Caenorhabditis elegans: one gene and its partner. The protein of the gene in region 2 purifies or fractionates together with the protein of the main gene of each other region. This does not show direct contact. Each region holds a gene or a part of one and is shown on either strand. Other genes may lie near its edges.

Region 1 (10,606 bases), on a different chromosome or scaffold from region 2:
CATATTTTTATTAAATGAAACAGACTTCAATCAAATCATGGAACTTGTCCAAGTAATTATTTTTTGGGCAATACTTGGGTAAGAAGTTGACGGCAAACTCCGAGATAGCGTAGTTTCGAGTTCAAGATGACAGTCCACAAGCAAGCCGAACAGCTTAGATTGAGTTCAGAAACAAAGACATATTACGATAATCACTTATTATTTTATTAAACGTAATAGCTATTGTCTATAGATTAATGGAATAAAGAATTTCGAAGAACTTGGTTATCACATAATATTTTATTGAGTTAGTATGAGTTAGCAATAGAGATCAATCAAATCATTGAACCAAAGCGAGAACGACCATTGGGACAACAAAGAAGGTTCCAGTGTTGTAAGCAGCTTTTGTGGCATTGGTTGAAGTTTCTCCGAGCAAGTCATCAACAGAAGTTACATTTGGTGCAACAGTCGATGAAAGCGATGGACGAGAAGCCCCTTCAGTTGTAGCTTCGATGTTATTGGCAGCTGGAGTATCAACTGGAGCATTGGTTTCAGCATCTTTAGTCTCTTGAGTGGCTTCTACAACAACAGCTTCTGTAGTTTCTTCAACAGCTTCGGTGGTTTGAACTGGTTCTGTAGCTGGTTCTGTTTCTGCAACGGCTTTGGCTGTTGTTTCGATGAGAGCCACAGTTGCATCTTCAGTGACTTTAGTTGCAGTCCTGGAATAGAAAAGTAAAAAAGAGTAATTATAGAGAACAACTCACACAGCAACGGCAGTATCGTCTCCATTGACAATTGGAGCCAAGATGAGGAGCATGGCGAACAAGATGTTGATTGATTGCATGTCGATTGATTTGGTGCAAGTTTGCAAGATGATGGTTAGTCGAATGTTAATGTTCAAGTGAGAACTGATTTTATTTCAATTTTCTCATCTTCACATCAACTTTTATCTCGATGTTTGATCGACCTTTACGTGAAATACGTATTCATTGGACATTGGAAAAGCTCACGTTTATCTTCAAAATATTTATATTAAAATAAAAAATCATATGCTTTTTTCAATTAAATCAAACCTGCTGTTATGTACCACTACAGCAACTTGAAAGTACCTGATAGTATCCTTACACTATCGGAGAACCCCAAAAACCACCCTCATTATATTTTACTAGAACCGGCAAACCGGATTTAGAGCCTGCTGAATCTTCAACTCTTTCCCATTCAAATTCAGATTTTCAAGCCAAAATTTAACCGTCCCAAGTTTTAGGAAATCAAAATGTAATTCAAATTGATTCCAAAGCTCACGTTTTATTAACTTCCGCTTCCCTGCTTCAACCTAAATGGTCAACTTGTCTAGTGGTCATCATGTAATACAAAAGAAGTTGTAATTTGTAAGAAAGTATCGCTTTTCACAGAAAGAGAATAGATCCGTGAAAATCCAGTCAAAAGAAGCCGCGAAGCGAAAAGTAACACGGCAATTATGTTTTGAAAAGACACTCAGACAATTCATTTTGGTTACCAGCATTTGAGTTATTTTGATGTTTTGACAATTCTCCAAATTCTATAAAATCATGAAATCAATGCCTTGGATTCATTTTTTATTCACTATAATTGTTATTTTATTTATTTTATCAATTGGCATTTTCTTCTACTTTTATTCGGAAATTCGAGATATCCAGAGAATTGCTGATGATGCCATTAAAGATTTTGAGGTAATTGAGGTTTTTAAAAAAGGAAGAAACATTTTTTTTTAATTTCAGATTTACGAAAAAATGTCCTGGAATGATCTACAAGTCGTACTGATTTCATTGAAATCCAGAGAAAAACGGTATTTTTTAATTAAATTTAATTTATTACGATACTAGCATATCGTGAGGTTAATAAGATTTTTCAGAGGAGAGTAAGAAATTATAAATTTTATAGTAAAAAGTAATTTTGTGGAACCAAAGCAATCTGAGACTCACATCGCCCGACCGCCTCCCGTCGCCTCCCAATCGCTTCTTGTGAATAATGCCTCAAAAACCATTGAAATATCATAAGAAAAATAAAATGGTCTTTTAAGATCTCTCAAGAATTTTTTACCTGTTCATATTAATGCAAATATCGTTGATACACCAGTGATACACCAATTTAATCGGTATATTTAGCTAAATATGTTCTTTAGTTTAATCGCCAAAATGTCGCTTTGTTAAACACAGAACAAACTTTAATCATATTTTCTGCAGAAAAATTCGCAAGAAATCTCGTCGTCAAAGCGAAAAAGATTATCTTGTTGCATTCCCATCATCACCTTCAATAAAACCACCAGAATGCCCATCAGGCCCTCCAGGTCGACCTGGAAAACCTGGATTAGATGGTGAACCGGGATTCGACGGGCTTCCGGGAAGAGACTATAATTATATGGAATTAATGACGGAGCACTGTATTTTGTGTCCTGCTGGACCACCAGGAGATCCAGGTATGGAAGGATCTGATGGTATTCCAGGACCGCCGGGCCTCATTGGCCCCCCAGGCCCGAATGGAGAATCTGGAGTAATTGGATCAGTTGGGGCTGCAGGAAGAGAAGGAACTCCTGGGAAACGAGGAATAGGTGGTGAAGAAGGAGAACCTGGTCTTATTGTAATGAAAATGATGAATACAAGAGGCCCAAAAGGTTCTGTAGGACCGCGAGGTCTTACTGGGCAACCTGGAATGCCTGGAAGAACAGTCAATGGTTGGCTTTCCTCCATGCTCACTTTTCTATTTAGTTCCCAATTTCAGCACCACCTGGATCGCCAGGTATCAGAGGACGTCCTGGTATGCCTGGTGCAAGTGGAAGGTCAGGAATCATTGGAAAGGTAGCTCAATATTTTTGAAGTTTTAATATATTGAGTCACGTTTCAGAGAGGAATCCACGGAGAGCCTGGACTCGACGCATCATATTGTCCCTGCCCACGCCGATCGTATCAAATGCAGAAAATGGTGGATCCAGCTCAAGAAAAGAAGTTTTCTTACGATTATTATGAATTTGAAGTCGCGAAATCGAGGAGAAATAGAAAATCGATTTGGAACAGAAGGAGAATCAAATATATTTAGTTTTTTATTATAACTTCATGAAGATTGTTATATTTTCTTTTTATCACTAACGCGGTATACTGGACCTATTTCATCTGACCCCCACAAATTTTGTGAGATTGAAAACGTAAAGTCATACTCCTGCTCGTGATGGATCCAATTTACTATCAATCCTGTTTGCCAGTCCTAATTAAATATAATTATAGAACATTTTCTTGGGTGGTTTTTGGGGTTCTCCGATAGTACTTATAAGGATACTTTCAGGTTGCTGTAGTGGTACATAACAGCTGGTTTGCTTTAATTGAAAAAAGCATCTGAATATGATTTTTTATTTTAATATAAATATTTTGAAGATAAACGTGAGCTTTTCCAATGTCCAATGAATACGTATTTCACGTAAAGGTCGATCAAACATCGAGATAAAAGTTGATGTGAAGATGAGAAAATTGAAATAAAATCAGTTCTCACTTGAACATTAACATTCGACTAACCATCATCTTGCAAACTTGCACCAAATCAATCGACATGCAATCAATCAACATCTTGTTCGCCATGCTCCTCATCTTGGCTCCAATTGTCAATGGAGACGATACTGCCGTTGCTGTGTGAGTTGTTCTCTATAATTACTCTTTTTTACTTTTCTATTCCAGGACTGCAACTAAAGTCACTGAAGATGCAACTGTGGCTCTCATCGAAACAACAGCCAAAGCCGTTGCAGAAACAGAACCAGCTACAGAACCAGTTCAAACCACCGAAGCTGTTGAAGAAACTACAGAAGCTGTTGTTGTAGAAGCCACTCAAGAGACTAAAGATGCTGAAACCAATGCTCCAGTTGATACTCCAGCTGCCAATAACATCGAAGCTACAACTGAAGGGGCTTCTCGTCCATCGCTTTCATCGACTGTTGCACCAAATGTAACTTCTGTTGATGACTTGCTCGGAGAAACTTCAACCAATGCCACAAAAGCTGCTTACAACACTGGAACCTTCTTTGTTGTCCCAATGGTCGTTCTCGCTTTGATTCAATGATTTGATTGATCTCTGTTGCTAACTTATACTAACTGAATAAAATATTATGTGATAACCAAGTTCTTCAAAAGTCTTTATTACATTAATCTATTGCAGTTAATAAAATAATATGTGATTATCGTAATATGTCTTTGTTTCTGAACTCAATCAAAGCTGTTCGGCTAAATTCTTATTCCATTCAGATTAGATTAAATTTAAGATGTGCTAACCATTAACCTCGCAGGATTTCAATTCAGGACAGGAAAGCAAGAAGCAGGGTGGTAGTCATGAAGTCGTGCCTTCATTTCAGAAATTAGGCATCTCTAAAGTTGATGAAGTTGGTTGAGAATTTGCGGGAAAGAGAAATAGTTCCAAACATGAGAAAATTACATATTACACAATTTTGTCGGTTCATCATCTTCCTCCAAAACCGAATAATCGTCTTTATCTGATTCGAAAAAAAAAACTTTATCAACCACTGGAAAACCTTTATTGTTGTCCCAATAGTGGCTTTCGCTTTGATTCAATGATTTGATCGATTTGTATTGCTCTCATACTAACTCAATAAAATATTATGTGATAACCAAGTTCTTCAAAATTTTTTATTCCATTAATCAAACAAGATTTCATGAAAAATCGCAATCTCTATCTTCCTGTCAACCGCAGTATACCTGTTAATAAATCTAATCATTATTATTATCATCTGATTCCTCATTTCTCTTTTTCTCTGTCTTTTTCATTCGTTCCTCAACCTTCTGCCAGCTTATGATGTACTATGTGTCAGTTGTTCCTCTTTCTTCTCCTTCCCTCATTTCCTCCCTCGAACCTCTTTGATGGGCGTGGCTTGAGCTTCTTTCTGTGTCTGAGACCAACATACTTCTTGCCTCTTTTACTGCCCACCAAAAACTTTCTCCATTTCAGTACAGTCTAGGCCAAATGTGCCGATGGCTTTTCTGGCACTGATATCACTTATCACATCTCCCCTAACTTTCGATCTACAAATCAACGGACCATCGGTTAATCCTGCACCAATTATATTGAGCACACCGTCCAAAAACTTATCATTATCATTTCACAATGGACACATCTACGCGGATTCGATTCCTGTATCAGCTATTTCTGAAAATGAGACTACATCATTCTCATTGAAATGTATTTCACATATTTCTTTACATTTTCAAAGTCCACATGCAAACTCTCTGGTTTATTCTCCAACATTGTGTTCAGCTCCAAATATCGGTAAGTTACCGAAAGAATTAACGAACGAATTACTTCCTGACTGTAAAAACAACCTTGAAATTTTTTGAAACATTATATCTAATTGTGAAATCAGTAGAAAAATCTGACTCATTTCGCTTTTTTTTACAAAATGATTGCTTCAAACTCTCCGATTTGCGTTTGAAAAAAGACTTTTGAATTACTGCTCATGTTTGCTGGTTGCCAGTTTCTCGATGTCGATGATGACAACAAAACGAGTTTCTGCAACTTGAAAAATTCTTCCTAAAATTAGAGATTTCAATCTTCCCTCCCCGATATTAAGTGAAAACCAATCTCATAAATCTGGAAAGACGCTTGCTGCAAGTGGCTAGAATAGTTTTTGTGCTAGAATCATAGCGGCTGCCTCAAAGCACACCAACAAAAAGAGCACTTTAGTCTTCTTTTCGGCTCCTTTTGGAAGCTGGAGCCGGCGCCGGAAATGAGCAAAAGAGTACTCTTTGGAGTATTCTGGAGCATCTCGGTATGTTGTTGTTGCTGTTCTCTATGTTTGTTCCGTAATAAACAATTGATGAAGATGAATGAATGAGAAAAGAAGAAGGAGATGGAGAGAGAGAGAGAGGAAGAAGCTTAAAAAGGAAAGAGAGTCATTGAAAATTCATCAGCAGATCATTCCGATGAACATGACATTTCAAATAGACCTAATAGAAATTTGTTAGCTTTTTTTGAAAATTGCTGAAAAGGACATACAAAGATTGTAAAACTTATTTTTTGAGTATGATTTCAGCATATTTTCAATTATTGCGCAAAATTGTTAAATTGAACTTTTCGAGTATTTGCACAACAGTTCCGTTTTTTTCTTTACCCTGAATTCTTCACAAAAATTGGGAGTTGGGGTTTGCAGCTAATTTTTTTAACTACCGAGTCAAAAAGTATAATAAGAAAACAATTTCTAAGAACTCGCTTCGAAGCCAAATCCCGCCATTTCTTCTTTTCCCGGTCAATAAAACTGTATTTTTTATCTCAAAATGTAGGCAGTAGATACCTCAAGATTCCCGGAAAAGTTTAACCCATTTCTTCAAAAAATCATAGTTGTTGGACTAATTAGCAAGTGTCAACACATGTGTCCTTCCATCATCCCTGTTTATACTTGCACTTGTTCACCACCAACCGACACATTTTGTAAATTATATGTTTTCTCTTCTTCTTCTTCATTTTTATGAGCCATGTGTTAGAAGAGGATGCTTGAGTTGAATAGAAAAATAAAAAATATTAAAATACAAAGTTGAATTCAAACAAATTGTAGGGCTCACAATAAACGAAACAGCGCTCAAAGGATGTATGTTTGATATCACTCAATCCAGCTCAATTTTGACTCAACGGATATGCGGGTGAGTTAAAACATTAAAAAAAGGAATTAGATCTGGATTTACCGTTTGAGCGTTTCTGTGTCAAAAGAAACGTTAACTATGTTCAATCTAGACTTTCATGAAGGTACAGGCATATTGTAGGCATTCAAGGCATGTGTATCCAATGGCGACCTTATCCATACTATCATGTGAAGAAAATTTGAAATTCACTGCAAGTAGGCGTAGGCTGCATTTAAGGGTTTCCTTGTAGAAAATATACAAACTGACACTTCTATTAATTTCTCAGGTTCCAATTTAGTTCAAAAAATCGGTGTACTTTTCACAAGACAAACAAACAGACAAAAATGTACGTGAAGGCAACATGTGTCTACTTTTAGTGACAACTCGACTGAAAATGTGTAGATCGTTTTCAGGCAGTATACATCTGCCTTATAGGTGTATATATCTTGAAGACTTTGACAATCAGACGTAACAAACATGTGTCCCTATCATTGAAACCATGAATAATGGGCGGTCTCGTTTTCACTCAATCATCAATCTGTCGTCCAGTCGGCAACTCTTTTTCCATTCCATTCTTCCAACATCTTGAAGCAATTTCTCTGCGACGAATCAAATCTCGCACTATTTTACCACATTATTATTATCCATATGTCTGCGTGTCCACATCATTTGGCACTGTTTCACTGGTTTAAAGTCAGTGATGACAGTGGAGTATCAAAAATTGAGAATCACGAAATAGTGCTGAATTGAGAGAGATTTAGGCAAAGAATGGGATACGCTGGATAGAGATGGAGACCACCAGAATTTGATACTTTGTGGCCGATAAAATTGGCACATTTGAGAGGGATTTATGGGGTGGCGAGGCAGTGGCAAAGAGTTGTTTGTTAGTAAAAAAGTCAGTGGTCACTGAAAAATAACCTGTGACTATAGGTAATGGGGGATATTGAATAAAAATAACAAATATGATAAAGTGAGGGACTTAAATGTTTTTCAGTTCATAGAAATCCGAAATAACTTTAATAACATCTATTTTAAAGAATGTTTAGGGAATTTTCCTAACTTACCCGTAAAGGCAAAATTTAGCAAGCCCATTTTTGAATGCATATCCTAAAGGTTCTGAAACTCAAACACATGATTTTACACTAATACGTTCAAAAATATATCGTAAAAAATGAGTTCGGGAGATGTCTATCAATATATATTTCGTTGACTGTGTTAAAATATTCAACACATTACCAACATGATATTAAAATTATTTGCAACATTTTCAACATGCGTTAAAAATTCTGCCTTCCAATTTCCAGAATCGACTCAAAAAATGCGGCAAAAAATCCAGAAAAAGGACCGATTTATGTGGCGGAGCCAGTAGAGGTAAGATTAATCTTTTACTCTGATGGAGAAGTATGGGACCGATTAATATACAATCTTTAAAATAGAGAAAACCAGGTATTGAAACAAACAATGAGCACAAACTGTAACACTCAAATCTGCTTTGAAAAACAAAATTTCCATGTTAAAATTGACCACACTTTTTGCTCACTCCGCGGATTAACACATGTTTTTTAGAACAAAAATTGTAGTACCTCATGGCTGCCTCTTAATAATTTTGGCAAAAGTCAAGGAGACAGGCTGAACTATTGAAGTATTTCGGTCAAAAAGTAATTTTCAGTTGAATGAAGGTGGATCCATGCCTCTGCAATGGAAAAATGTGTACTTCATGCCAAGCAGTCAAGATGTTAATTTTTCACATACTGATATATTCTTTACCGTTTGTTATACAAATTCCGATAACTGCAATTCAAAGAATACAATTTTAGATCGTTGAGAGTGCGAAACATGGAGAGGTTCGAATAGATGATGTTGTAACAAGTTCTTTTACGTATGCTCAGCTTTTGGCAAGAAGAGTGATTTACAAACATGATGGAACTGAAACTAGAGAGGATCGACTCTCTTTTCAGGTAAGTCCCAGCGCATTAAAATCCAAACGTTATAAAATATGAAATACCCAAAATGGTCAGAATTTCAGAAATTCCAAAATTGAAACGTTTTTCTTGTTTTACTTTTTTTGTAGAATTTCTGAATTTCTGAATATTTTTGAATATTTTAAAACAAACATCCACAAGGTCTCACAAGGTTTGAACGCATTGTTTTTTCTTTTAAAAACCTCTCCAATTAAAAAAAAACAGTGCTTTCAGATTGAATTTGCTGTTAAACACAAACAACTTATACCAGCTGAATCCAAAACTTACTCATTGAGAATAAAAATTAATGGAGTCAATGACCCGCCGGAACTTGTAAAACGATCAAAAGACGAGAAACTATTGATTGCTTCACGTGGAAGTCGAGTGATAACAAACGAGATTTTAATATTAACTGATGCAGATGATCGACCAGAAAAAGTTCGAGTACAAGTTGTAGAATCAAGCGGAGTTCATATAGAAGTTCATGGACAAAAAGTGAATGAGTTTAGTCACAAACAATTGATTGAAGAATTGGTTTCATTGGTTGATGAAGGAACAGAGTTGGGAAGTGGAAGAATACGGTAAAATCGGTGTTCAGTTAATTATGAGAACACAACTTTCAGATTAATTGCGAGAGATCGAGAGGCTAGAAGTGGAGTTGTTATACTTGAAACACAAAGTACCAAAGTTGACGTGAAGTTGGTCCATAACACAGGACTAAAATTACTTCATCATTCCAGTGCACTACTTACAAATAAGTGAGGTTTTATAAGCTTTCAAAAATCGGAAATAAAATAAAAATTATTATTTTTTTCGCAAAATAACAAACTTGAAAAAAGTATCAAGAATTCCAGGCAAAACTTTTTCAACAGTTCTGCCAACTTTTTTGAAAATATCGCAAGTTCCTGGCAACTATCAGCTTTTGAGAAGCGTTGTTCTGAACGTTTGGCAATAAGTTGCCGTTAAATGCCGAGATGTTACGAGCCTTGAAAACAACCTTGTTTTCAGAAATCTATCTTTTGATGCTTCGATTCAAGACATGATTGTCGCCTATCGAATTGTTGATATGCCAGACACGGGTGTTGTTGAATGTCTTCAAGAGAATGATGACAAGTTCAGCATGTGCACAACGTTCACTCAAGCACAAGTGAACGAGGAGCAAGTCCGATTCAGGCACACAAGTCAAAGTTCTTCGCCGAGCGATATGTTCAGTTTTCAGGTAAATTTCGGACAACTTTTCAATTAAGAAATGGTCCTCGCTAAAACTTTTGGCAACATTCATAGCGCCCCCAATTAAAGCTATTAATTTGCAGGTTGAAGCTGGAGAATTCGCTTCAATGGTTCATGTCTTCCGAATTGACTTTATTCCAATGAATATTAAAGTTTTCACTCGTGAACCGTTTGTTCTGAATGGAACAGAAACTATGTCAATTAGCAGACAAAATCTTTTCTCTTGGACTTTTCCGAAAAGTTTTTCTGCTCACAATTTGATATACCATATTGATGAGCCACCAAAACTGGGAACACTTTCAAGAAAACTCGCCGTTGGAAAACAGAGAAGAATAGGAGTTTCTTCAAATTTCACACAACAAGATATTGATGAAGGTGCAATTAGCTACAAGTTACACTATCAACAATATTCAATTGTCAATGATTTTTTTGTTTTTCGAGTTGTATCGCCGGCTGTATCATCTCCACTTTTAAGATTTGATGTGAGTTTTAAGACCTTATTTTGACAATTTTGAGATTATTTGGAGACTTTTTATTTACTGAAAAATATTCTAGATTGTGTATGTTCCAAAAGAGTCATCAATCCGTCTTGTAAACAAAACAATTGTTGTAAAAGAAGAAGAAATTGCATCGGTAACTTTATTTGTAGAATTGTTTAAAATCTTTAAAAGTATAATTTCAGATAACACCCGATTTTCTGTCTCTTTCCACACCAGACGACTCAAACTTTATATTTCGTGTTGTTTCTCCAACACTGCATGGTCAAATCAGACTTCAAATTGGGGAAGTTTT
Region 2 (10,359 bases):
TTAAGGATTAATTGTAATGTGCAAATAGGAAGATCTTAAAACAACACTGTACGAATGCCAAAAAATAGGCGGTGGTAGGCAGGTAGGCAGATAGGTAGGTCACCATAAATAGTACCTTGTGAATCTTCAGTAATGCTACTTCAATTAGTTGTCGGCGTCGGCTTATTTTAGACATTTATAATAGTCCAAGGAGTACAGAATTTGTAAGATTTGTATTCTTTGTTTGCCTGGAAAGACATGTGTTCAGTTCAATCACCCGTAGCTAATAGTATAGTTGCACTTTGTGATCAGTCTACGTGACATCAAAACCAGATGATTTCAAGTGTGAACATTATCTTATCGCATTTTGATAACCATTGGCCGACCGTCGGTTAATGAGCTTTTCACTCATTTTTTTTTTGATTTTTGAAAAATCAAAGTTTTTTCCTTCTATAGTTTAAACTAAACCATGATCATTGATTCAAGTCGTTCATTATTTTTCTTTTTTCTATCCACTTCATTTTTCACAAATTTTTCGTGTCACTGCTTTCTTATCAATTATCACCTGCGAATTGGAGGAGAAGAGACATTTTTCCCACCTTCTGAACATTTTTACATTTTCTTGCGCATTCTCTTCCTCTTTTCTATAGGTTTTGTTCAGGTTTTCTTGCAAAAAAAGTATTTTTTGTTCTCTTTTTAATTACTCGATATCAAAACTCAACTTTTCTGCACAATACAAAACTTGTTTTCTTGTTTTATCGTCAAACGAAAAAATTCTTTCTGCATGGGTTTATGATCCATAACTTTTTTTCTTGCCCTTGTACATGCAAGCTCTCTTTTGTTTTCTCATTTGGTTGGACAGACACATTATGCTTAACAAATCATTACCCAGAATTTGTTATCAGAATTTTCATTTTGTTCAAGGAACCTACTGATAAGTGTATGTTTGTGTTGAAAATTTGTTCATATTTTGATCAAATTCTGGTCACTATGAGGCTAAGGTTGAAAAATTGGAAAATATTTGTTACGGTTTCAAGATTTTTTGAAATATATTGTCTAATTTATTATGGTGTTAGAGTATGACTTAGCGCGTTTTCATTGCTCTCATTAAAATATTTTGTCGAAAATTAAAGGTTCATCGTTTTGTAGGCATACAGGTAGGCATTGCTGTGCCTACACAGTTAATAAATTTGATCGTTTGGTTTCAAATACTTGAACTTTTCCCCATTTTAGAAAAAAATCAACTTCCAAATTGTTTCCTATACCAAATCTCTGTATTTACTCTAACATCACTTTTCTCTGTTTTTTTTTTTGCAAACATAATCTCTGTTTGTAAGGTTTATTTAGATTATCCTTTTGCAATGATAGTTCAGATTTAGTTCAGTTTTATGAAATATACACTTGCGAACTCGTTGTGTCACGAGGTGTCTAAAATAGTGATTTTTATCCAATTGCTCAAGAAAAAAGAGAAAATCTATTGATCATCGTCAAAAAGAATAACTACAGTGTAGTTCTACTAGACTGTTTGTACCGAGAAATTTTAATTTTGCAATTTCAGTGTTATCCATTTTTCAATGACAATAATTCTAGGTACGCATTCTTCACAGGCATAAAAATGCCTACCTACATGCCTACAAGTGATGTCTAATTCTTTGGAGGCAGGTAGGTAAGCAAAAGTATGTATCTTGCAGAATAATCTGGATATTTTAGAGCAGCCTTAGATGTTATATTTTTGAATTTTGAACTTCTCAAATCAACGTTTTCCAACATATTTTGATTTTCACAAAGCACAAACTTCTCCAAACTCAATTTTTACACTGTTTTAAATTTGAGAAAACCTCTCTAAGATCACTATTCTAAGATCCTTTTTGACAGATTTGTGAGAAGTCACTGATACTCTCATCCACCATGTGCCCTTTTAACTTTGTGTGTGTTCTGCTCTTTTTGTCGGCGGTCTTGTTTCCCACATAGACCCCACCACACAGACACTTTGAACAGAAAAATATTTTTGCAATAAAAATCCGTGTCCGTCCTCCACGCCTCATTCACTCTTTTCATCCGAAATGCAAAAAAAGAGAGGAACCCGGGGCAGTGGTTTTGCAAACGTTTGAGCAGCTGTCTGATGCTCGTTTCGTTGTGTGCATCCTCTTAATTCTTTCTTTCTCTATTTCTCGCGTTTTCTCCATATTTCGTCTCATTTTCAGTTTCAGTTTCAATTCATCAAAACTTGTCAAGAAAAACGAGAGAGGATATGTAGGATGGAGAAATTGAGAATATAATGTATAATTAATATACATTCCACCCTTCTCTTCGCCCCCATTTTTCCAGTTTTTCATTTTCTTCTTCCTCTTTTATTTTTCATAGATTTTTAAAGAAAATATATTTGTGTTATTTTAGATTTTAGAATTTATTTATGACGAAGTTGTATTTGTTGTTTTCATTGCAATTGTCAAAAAAATGTACCCTTTTGAAGCTTGAGCTAAACAAAACTGGATATGCCTTTGGGTAGGCAGGCACAATTTTAGGCATTAAATAATTGTCAAAAATGGGCCTGCAAGGTGCCAGCTGCTCTAACTTTTGTCACAGTGGAGTTGATAACAATTTATCAACATCGAAAATGTAGAAAAGAATTATGGTCAATATTTTGTCTTTTAAAACAATTTTGCAAATCTTATTAGTTTTTTTGAGTTATGCTCTTTTGAAGTTTTGTGACATTTTTATTTTTTTATCTCTCAACACCAAATTGTAACTTTCTTTTAATCTTAATTTTTCTCATTTTCCGAAGTTTATTTTTTAATTCCTCAATGTTTGCCTGTGTGCTCATGGATTTCTTTAAAACATTTTCCCGTCACTTGCTGTCACCTCCTTGTAGCCAACAGTTGACAGACGTCTCAAACCTCAGACAGAGAAGTGACAAGTAATCCTGAGAAGCTCAAAGTAGACCTAGATTTTACAAAGCACATGGATCACTAGGTGTCTTCAGTTTTTGTGCCTGTTATTAGATGTTTCGTCAAGATAAATTTTTTGGAGGTTTAGTCTCATAGCTTGTTCCAAACGTTTTAATCAAATTTTGCCAAAGCGTTGCAGTTTCATTTAATTCTACCATGAGAGTTGTAGTTTTTTACTTAACTGCCAGTGGAATTTCTGGTTTCGTAGAAACAGAATTGGAAGTTTGAACTATTGGAAATAAAAATCAAACGTATATGATGAAAATGGGCTTTACACCAAAATTGGGGTTTTGTAAGATATACCAAGAATTTTCTTTTTTTTTAATTTTTTTCGAATTGAAGTGAAATTTACAAATTTCTGAAATCTATAGATGCGCAACATTTTTGGAAAACGCAAAACTTTGCTTGGAAGCAATAATTGCAACAAATTTGAATATACGGTAACTAGAGACTCCGTTGGAGGCGTCAAGGGTCACCTCTTCTTCTTCACTCGCCCTACCAGATCTGTTTCTTTGCGGAAATAAAATATATTTGCACCATTTTCAAAGCGAAAATTGACATCTTTATATGCCAACATTCACATTCGGATCAACACGATCGAAATCTTTTTCAAGCAAAGATCTCGTCCAACCTTATGCTGATAATTCAAACCCCCTTACATAATAATCCAACAGCTTAGTTTTTAGTTTTTGAGTTAAAGAGCTCAACATCTCTCAAAATAATCTGATTTTTTTTGCGAGCCAAAATCGTAGTCACCTCGTCTATTTTGACCTCAGTTTGCGTTTTCTCCCCGCCAATTTTGTGAAGACGTCAGAAGTGTCGTTTGAATGTCAGATTTCGTGCATCTTTTCTGGAATATTATATAAAAAACATAAATTTTAAAGAGCTTCCCGGATTTTTTTCCATCTATTTCTATGAAATCCCAGATTTCTGCTCATCTCTTTCAATTCCGTCATAATTTTTATTTTTTGCAATTCCTACAATAAAAATTAGAAAAAAAAAGTCATTTTCTCTTACACCGGCTTTCCTCCTACATCGTTTCCTTCCCTAATCCTTTCTCGTGTCTGACACTCCCTTATCCGCCTCATTTTCATCTCAAAATTGAAAAGATTAGCCATTTGACTATATAGAGATGATTAGTCATTTTTATGTTATATGTACACAACTTTTCATCTAAAGACTTTTTCCATGAAATTTCATGGTTTTGATGGCTAGGAAGGGAAGCAGACAGGCCTACTTTTTGCCTGCCTGCGTTCGTTTCTACCTATCTCATATTTTTAATTCTCTGTATGTGCAATGTAATTCACGAATTCAATAGACTTGTAAAGTGTTTCATTAACAAAAAAGTTCAGAAATTTTTTGGTAGACGGTAGGCGTAGGCCACCTGGGTGGCAGTTATCCGGTGCCTACGTGGAATGCTAATTTTCAATGACGTGACTTTCCATAAGTGTTCTCTCAATATTTATCTTTCAAAAAAAGGAGAATATTTGCAACATAGAAATGAGTGTGCTCTTTCCTTTTGGTTTTTGATCATTCTCTTTTTTTTGGGATGAACAACTAGAGGGGCAAATTTCGCAGAAAAAACTTTCTCATGTCCTTGAACAAGTTCTATGCAAAAAAGATTCTATTAGAATTCGCTCGTCTTCTATCTGAACCTAACTTTGTATTGAGGCCAGCGGCCAAGTTGAAAGTTCAAAAAATTTCTAAAAATCCGGAATCGTCAAACTACCATTTGTATCAAAATTACGCGAATGTCGATAAAATCAGAATTCAAACAAAATGCTGAGACTTAAAGTTTATTGCCGCATAAAAATCCGAATTAAATTCCCATTATTTTTTTCCTCCAACCGTATTCTTTTGATCTCTTCGATGTATTCCTGATGTGGTTGCACTCTATATCCTTTCTTAAATTGTTCAACTCTATTTTTTGTGGCATTAATGTTTAATAATTTTTATTCACAATCAGAAAAATATATTAATTTTCAATAATTTAAAATATTTTTAAACCTCCGTCAAATTCATTTTCTTATTTTCCCTGTTCTCCGTAACCTTACGTGACATATTCCAGATTCACAAAAATTCCACGTGTCATATATACGAGTGGAACATTATTGGAAAACAAAAAGTGAAATGAGTTGATGAATGTGGCCGACAAGTGTCGAAGCGCTCCGGTTCTACCACACATTTGCATTCTCACCGGGACGACGGCGACGGCTCTTCGGATTATCGATTGTTTTTGTGATTGCCGCGTTATGTGTGACGTCATGCGATGCAGATGCAGTTCCAGCACCGTCTCCAGAAGCGGAACCATCACTCGGTGCGGGAGCAAATCCGTATTTGTTGGACTCGTTGGTGAAAAGGGTTAGTTGGTCATATTATTACAAGATAGTCATAAACTTCAATTATTTTTAGCTTCCCAAAAAAGGCGACAAAAAGGAAATCCTGATCAGTTACCTGGCCGCTGTGCCCACACTAATGGGAGAAATTGATCAATACCTTCTCAATTTATCAGCTTCAAACTCTGCACAAAATTCGTCTAAAGATCGAGAAAGCTTCTCAAAAAAGCTCAATCAAATCGTGCACTGCCTGACAACTGATGCTTACGTTTCTGTGGTTTCGGGAGCATTAGTGGCGGCTATTGTAGAGATTAATCAGGATAAAGATCTCATTCCTGCTTATCAGTTGAAATATGTCTTTGGAAATACTTGTGGAAACGATTCTCATAGTGAGTACAGTGAAATTGAGGATTTGAAGTGATTAGAACTCTGGGAAGTTAAATTGGAACTTCTTGTTCAAAAAATACGGTGTTTCCTCTGTTAACATTGCATCACACTGTTAAACTTTGAAAGTTTATATCAGTATTCGTTTGTTCTATTCAAAAATTTTCAATTGACGACACCCCGAACGTGGCTTTTTAAACGCACCGCCCTTTCTTTGAAATGAACTAAAAATGAAACATCTATCAGAAGATCAGGAAGGAGAAACTAAATAAAAACAAAATAAAAAATAAGCCACGTTTATGTGTCTGTTTTTAAATTTTGATAATACTAATAGAGGATATACGGTATCAGTTGAAATGACGCATCTCCAGTTAAAAAAATACTTCTGCATATATCCAACAACTTCTTATTTCAGGTACTCGCTTGTTCATGGAGCACTGGCAAGCCGGAGCTCGCGTCTTCATTGGTCCTGAAAAGAACTGCAAGACTGAAGCTGCGATGGCTGCTTCACAGAACCTTCCAATCATCAGTTATCGATGCAATGATCAGGATATTTCTCGTGATGAGTGAGTTTTTGGTTTTTGATTTTGATTTTTCGAAACAAAGATTCCAGTTCTATAAATTATTTTCAGCTACCACTATCGAACATTTGCACGTACTGTACCACCAGCTGGAGAGATCTTCAAAGCCTTCATGTCCTTGATGAAACAATACAACTGGCGGAAATTTTCGGTTGTCTATGATGTTAAGAAGGGTCAAGTGAAGAACGAGCTTTTTGAAACATTGAAGAGAATGGTGGAGACTGAAAACAAATTTGAAGAGCACAAGTTTGAAATTATGAATGTTTCAAAACTCGAGTTCTCGAAAATGGATATCAGTAGTCAACAGGACATTCAAAGCATTGAAAATGCCATAAAATCGACGATGCAGACAACGAGAAGTTTGTTTTATATTTAGTTTTCGAAGCTAAACAGTTATATTTCAGTATACCTGACATTCGACAACGTCCGACTCTTCCGTACAATGTTATCAATTATGGGAGAAATGGGACTAACTCAACAGGATTATATGCTCATTTATGTTGATACCAACTACGACTGGCTTAACGTCTACCATTCAATGAATAATCATTTTTTGAGAAGTAAGCATGGACTTTAATTCTTTTAAATTTCAAGCAACATTGTTTCAGATACTATGACATACTTACATCATTCCTGGGATGCTAACAATTCATCAGATAGAAAAATGCTCGATTATGCAAGAAGTGCTCTTTCGATTATTCCAACTCCAGTCAAATTGAATAGTCAAAGGTTTTACAATTTTTGGAAGAAAGCCGGTGACTATATGCATCATTTTGGAGTCCAGAAAGCTGATAATTTGAAGGTTTGATTATATGAGAGTTAAGATGTATCATTAATTTCTTTCAGGGAAATAGAATTGCGTGTTACCTCTACGATGCAGTTTACTTGTATGCGAAAGCCATTCACGAGTTAGTCGAAGAATATGGTAATGATGATTCTTACGATCCGACGGCAGATGGGAAGGCTATTATCGATAGAATTGTTAATAAGAAATATCGAAGTGAGTACAAAATGTTATGAAAATCGTCTCAATTTTAAACCAGATTAAAAACATTTATACATCTTTTTTCTTCACAAAAGTCAATCAAAACAATTAATTTTGATCGGTTCCTGGTTTCATTGTAGTATGAAACTCGACGCCGTCTCCGATATGATAGGTTTTGATAAACTTGTCCAAGCCAGGGATTAAGGTCATCACTGGTGGCTCGCCAACTTCCGATAGAGCAAATTTAAAAAGTAGTAGCACAGAAATTAAGTAAAAGAGGAAGGTTTTACTGCCAACCATTTTCGGTTTGGAATGCTGAATTATCATCTAACCAGCCGTATTTATAGCTGTTATCAAATAAAAATACAAGTGACTAACAAATGCAAACATAGATTTTTTGTTTTAAAAACAATAACATAACTGATACATTTTTTCAGGCATCCAAGGATTTGACATGAGAATTGACGAACGAGGAAACTCGAAAGGAAACTTCTCGCTTCTCAGTTGGCAAAAAGTGGCACCAATCATGAACAAGTCCGATCCATCGTATTATCCATTGGACCATGCTCTTGATTTGACTGCTATTTTCGTTGAAGCTCCTGATAAGGATAGACTACCAAATCTGCAATTCAAGTCCTCACGGATTCAATGGTTGAAAGGAGAACCACCACCGGATGAACCTGTTTGTGGTTTCCATGGCGAAAATTGTCGGAAGAAGGGAATCTTCAGTTATCTCACAGTGGTCGTTATGATTCTCATTGCAGTTTTCAGTCTTGTGCTCACTGGATTTACTTTGAAGTGAGTTTTTAAAACTGAAAGAAATGATTTAACATTAAAATTTCAGTTACATCCGAAGTCGCCGCTTCGAGAAAGAGTTGTCCATGATCTGGAAGATTGATCCATATGAAGTTCGCCGTGTTGTCGGAGGAGTGAACAATGAATCAACAGCATCTCTAATGCAATCTGATGTCATGCAGTTTGCAAAAACAAAAACACCTTGGTGGAGTAAAGCGCCGGTTCAAGGAACAGGAATGCGGGGACTTGCTTCATACAAGGGAACACTCGTTGGGCTGAAAGATTTGATGTATGGCCGGAAGCCGAAAGATCTGACACGGGAAGCTAAGAAAGAGTTGCGAGCAATGAGACAATTAGCTCATCCAAATGTCAATAACTTCCTTGGAATTATTGTATGCCAATATTCAGTTACGGTTGTCAGAGAATACTGCTCTAAAGGATCACTTCACGATATTTTGAGAAACGAAAATCTAAAGCTGGATCACATGTATGTTGCCTCATTCGTAGATGATCTTGTGAAAGGAATGGTGTATATTCATGACTCTGAACTGAAAATGCATGGAAATCTTAAATCCACCAACTGCCTCATCACTTCCCGCTGGACACTTCAAATCGCTGATTTTGGATTACGGGAGCTCCGAGAAGGAATCATGTACGATAGTAGTTATAACATCTGGGAGAACTTCTTATGGACAGCACCAGAAGCAATGACTATCAACGGGTCACTGGCAATTTCAAATCCGCCGACTCCAAAAGCTGATGCCTACTCATTCGGTATTATATTCCATGAGATTTTTACTCGAGAAGGACCTTATAAAATCTATGTTCAACGTGGAGATGTCAATGGAGAGGCTGCTCCTAAGAAGGATAGTGTCGAGTGTCGAGCATTGGTTGAAAAAACAGTCCGACGAGTATACAGTGATCCATATTTCCGTCCGGATACTTCTGATCTTGAGGTTCAAAATTATGTGAAAGAAGTTATGGCGGCATGTTGGCATCATGATCCATATCAAAGACCTGAATTCAAAACAATCAAGAATAAATTGAAACCACTTTTCCATCAAATCTATAAACAGAATATAATGGATCATATGGTATTAATGATGGAGAAATATCAAACACAATTAGAAGATCTTGTTGACGAAAGAACTATTGAATTGAAAGATGAACAACGGAGAAGTCAACATTTATTGCAAAGAATGCTTCCGAGCTCAGTTGCTGAGCAACTACTTGCTGGACAAGACGTGATTCCTGAAGCATTTCCACCGGTTACTATTTATTTTTCGGATATTGTCGGGTTTACAACGATCTCTGGAGAATCGACTCCAATGGAAGTTGTCACGTTCCTCAACAAGCTTTATACACTTTTCGATAGCATAATTCGACGATACGATGTATACAAAGTGGAGACAATTGGTGATGCCTATATGGTTGTATCAGGAGTCCCACAGTACAAGACAATGGAATACCATGCGGAACAAATTGCAATGATGGCGATTCACATACTCTCTGCTGTCAGATCATTCTCGATTCCTCATCGATCTTGTGAGCCGCTGATGATTCGAATCGGTATGCATACGGGTCCATGTGTAGCTGGTGTAGTTGGAAAAACAATGCCAAGATATACTTTGTTTGGTGATACAGTCAATACAGCATCAAGAATGGAAAGTAATGGAGAAGCATTGAGAATTCATTGCTCGTCCTCAACTCAGAAGGTTTTAACATCCATTGATCAAGGATTCTTGTTAGAAGAAAGAGGCTCATTGGCTATTAAGGTAACGTTGAAAATATTATTTTTTAAACTATGATTGTTATTTCAGGGAAAAGGACAAATGACAACATACTGGTTGAATGGAAGAGCTGGTTACGAGTTCACGGAAACGATCGAAGATAAGATGGTTGTACCTGACATTTTCCCACGTCCAAATCTCAAGAATCGAGGATCCAGTTGGGGTAAGTAGGAAATTTCAAATATACTATGTTAAAATTAGTTAGTGAAGTTCTATGTTAGTGTTATCCGTATCTGCATGCTTAACCCCTTGTTGTCCTAATTGTCCCCCTTACCATTCTCTGTTCAGCAAATCGACTAACTGCTCTTGTCCCTGCATGTCCATTTCAACGTCCTTCTGATCATATGAACCTTCGCTTCGAACCATCCAACCTCTCATCTTCCGACTCGACTAGTGAAGAATACTTGAACAATTGAAAACGATTGGTGAAATCGAACTCTTCTTTATTATTTTCACGTGCTTGATTCTTTGTGAAATGTATGCATGTTTTTGAATTCGAATGAATAGGATGACAACGATGTTTTTTTTTTGAAATATTAAATTTTACATAGCATCTGAAGA

The links.
Region 1: the proteins of gcy-12 (region 2) and C48E7.6 fractionate together in Caenorhabditis elegans (co-fractionation; one large-scale study listed by BioGRID). This does not show direct contact.

Annotation. Positions count from the first base shown.
Region 1 is NC_003279.8:6,231,230-6,241,835, forward strand, and holds the start of C48E7.6 (Chondroitin sulfate proteoglycan 4), read left to right. Parts: upstream 1-4,904; 5' UTR 4,905-4,982; coding exon 4,983-5,277; intron 5,278-6,559; coding exon 6,560-6,644; intron 6,645-7,344; exon of another isoform or gene 7,345-7,481; intron 7,482-7,927; coding exon 7,928-7,994; intron 7,995-8,292; coding exon 8,293-8,391; intron 8,392-8,440; coding exon 8,441-8,581; intron 8,582-8,818; coding exon 8,819-9,165; intron 9,166-9,207; coding exon 9,208-9,342; intron 9,343-9,592; coding exon 9,593-9,803; intron 9,804-9,897; coding exon 9,898-10,296; intron 10,297-10,369; coding exon 10,370-10,447; intron 10,448-10,496; coding exon 10,497-10,606. Other genes in the region: T08B2.12 (MS Related Protein), read right to left, coding at 320-698, 744-823; col-56 (Col_cuticle_N domain-containing protein), read left to right, coding at 1,548-1,688, 1,737-1,804, 2,202-2,689, 2,737-2,813, 2,860-3,051; C48E7.7 (MS Related Protein), read left to right, coding at 3,556-3,635, 3,681-4,059.
Region 2 is NC_003280.10:5,307,051-5,317,409, forward strand, and holds the start of gcy-12 (Receptor-type guanylate cyclase gcy-12), read left to right. Parts: upstream 1-4,995; 5' UTR 4,996-5,069; coding exon 5,070-5,288; intron 5,289-5,339; coding exon 5,340-5,652; intron 5,653-6,062; coding exon 6,063-6,213; intron 6,214-6,279; coding exon 6,280-6,587; intron 6,588-6,632; coding exon 6,633-6,788; intron 6,789-6,836; coding exon 6,837-7,030; intron 7,031-7,074; coding exon 7,075-7,228; intron 7,229-7,650; coding exon 7,651-8,011; intron 8,012-8,057; coding exon 8,058-9,783; intron 9,784-9,828; coding exon 9,829-9,961; intron 9,962-10,086; exon of another isoform or gene 10,087-10,359.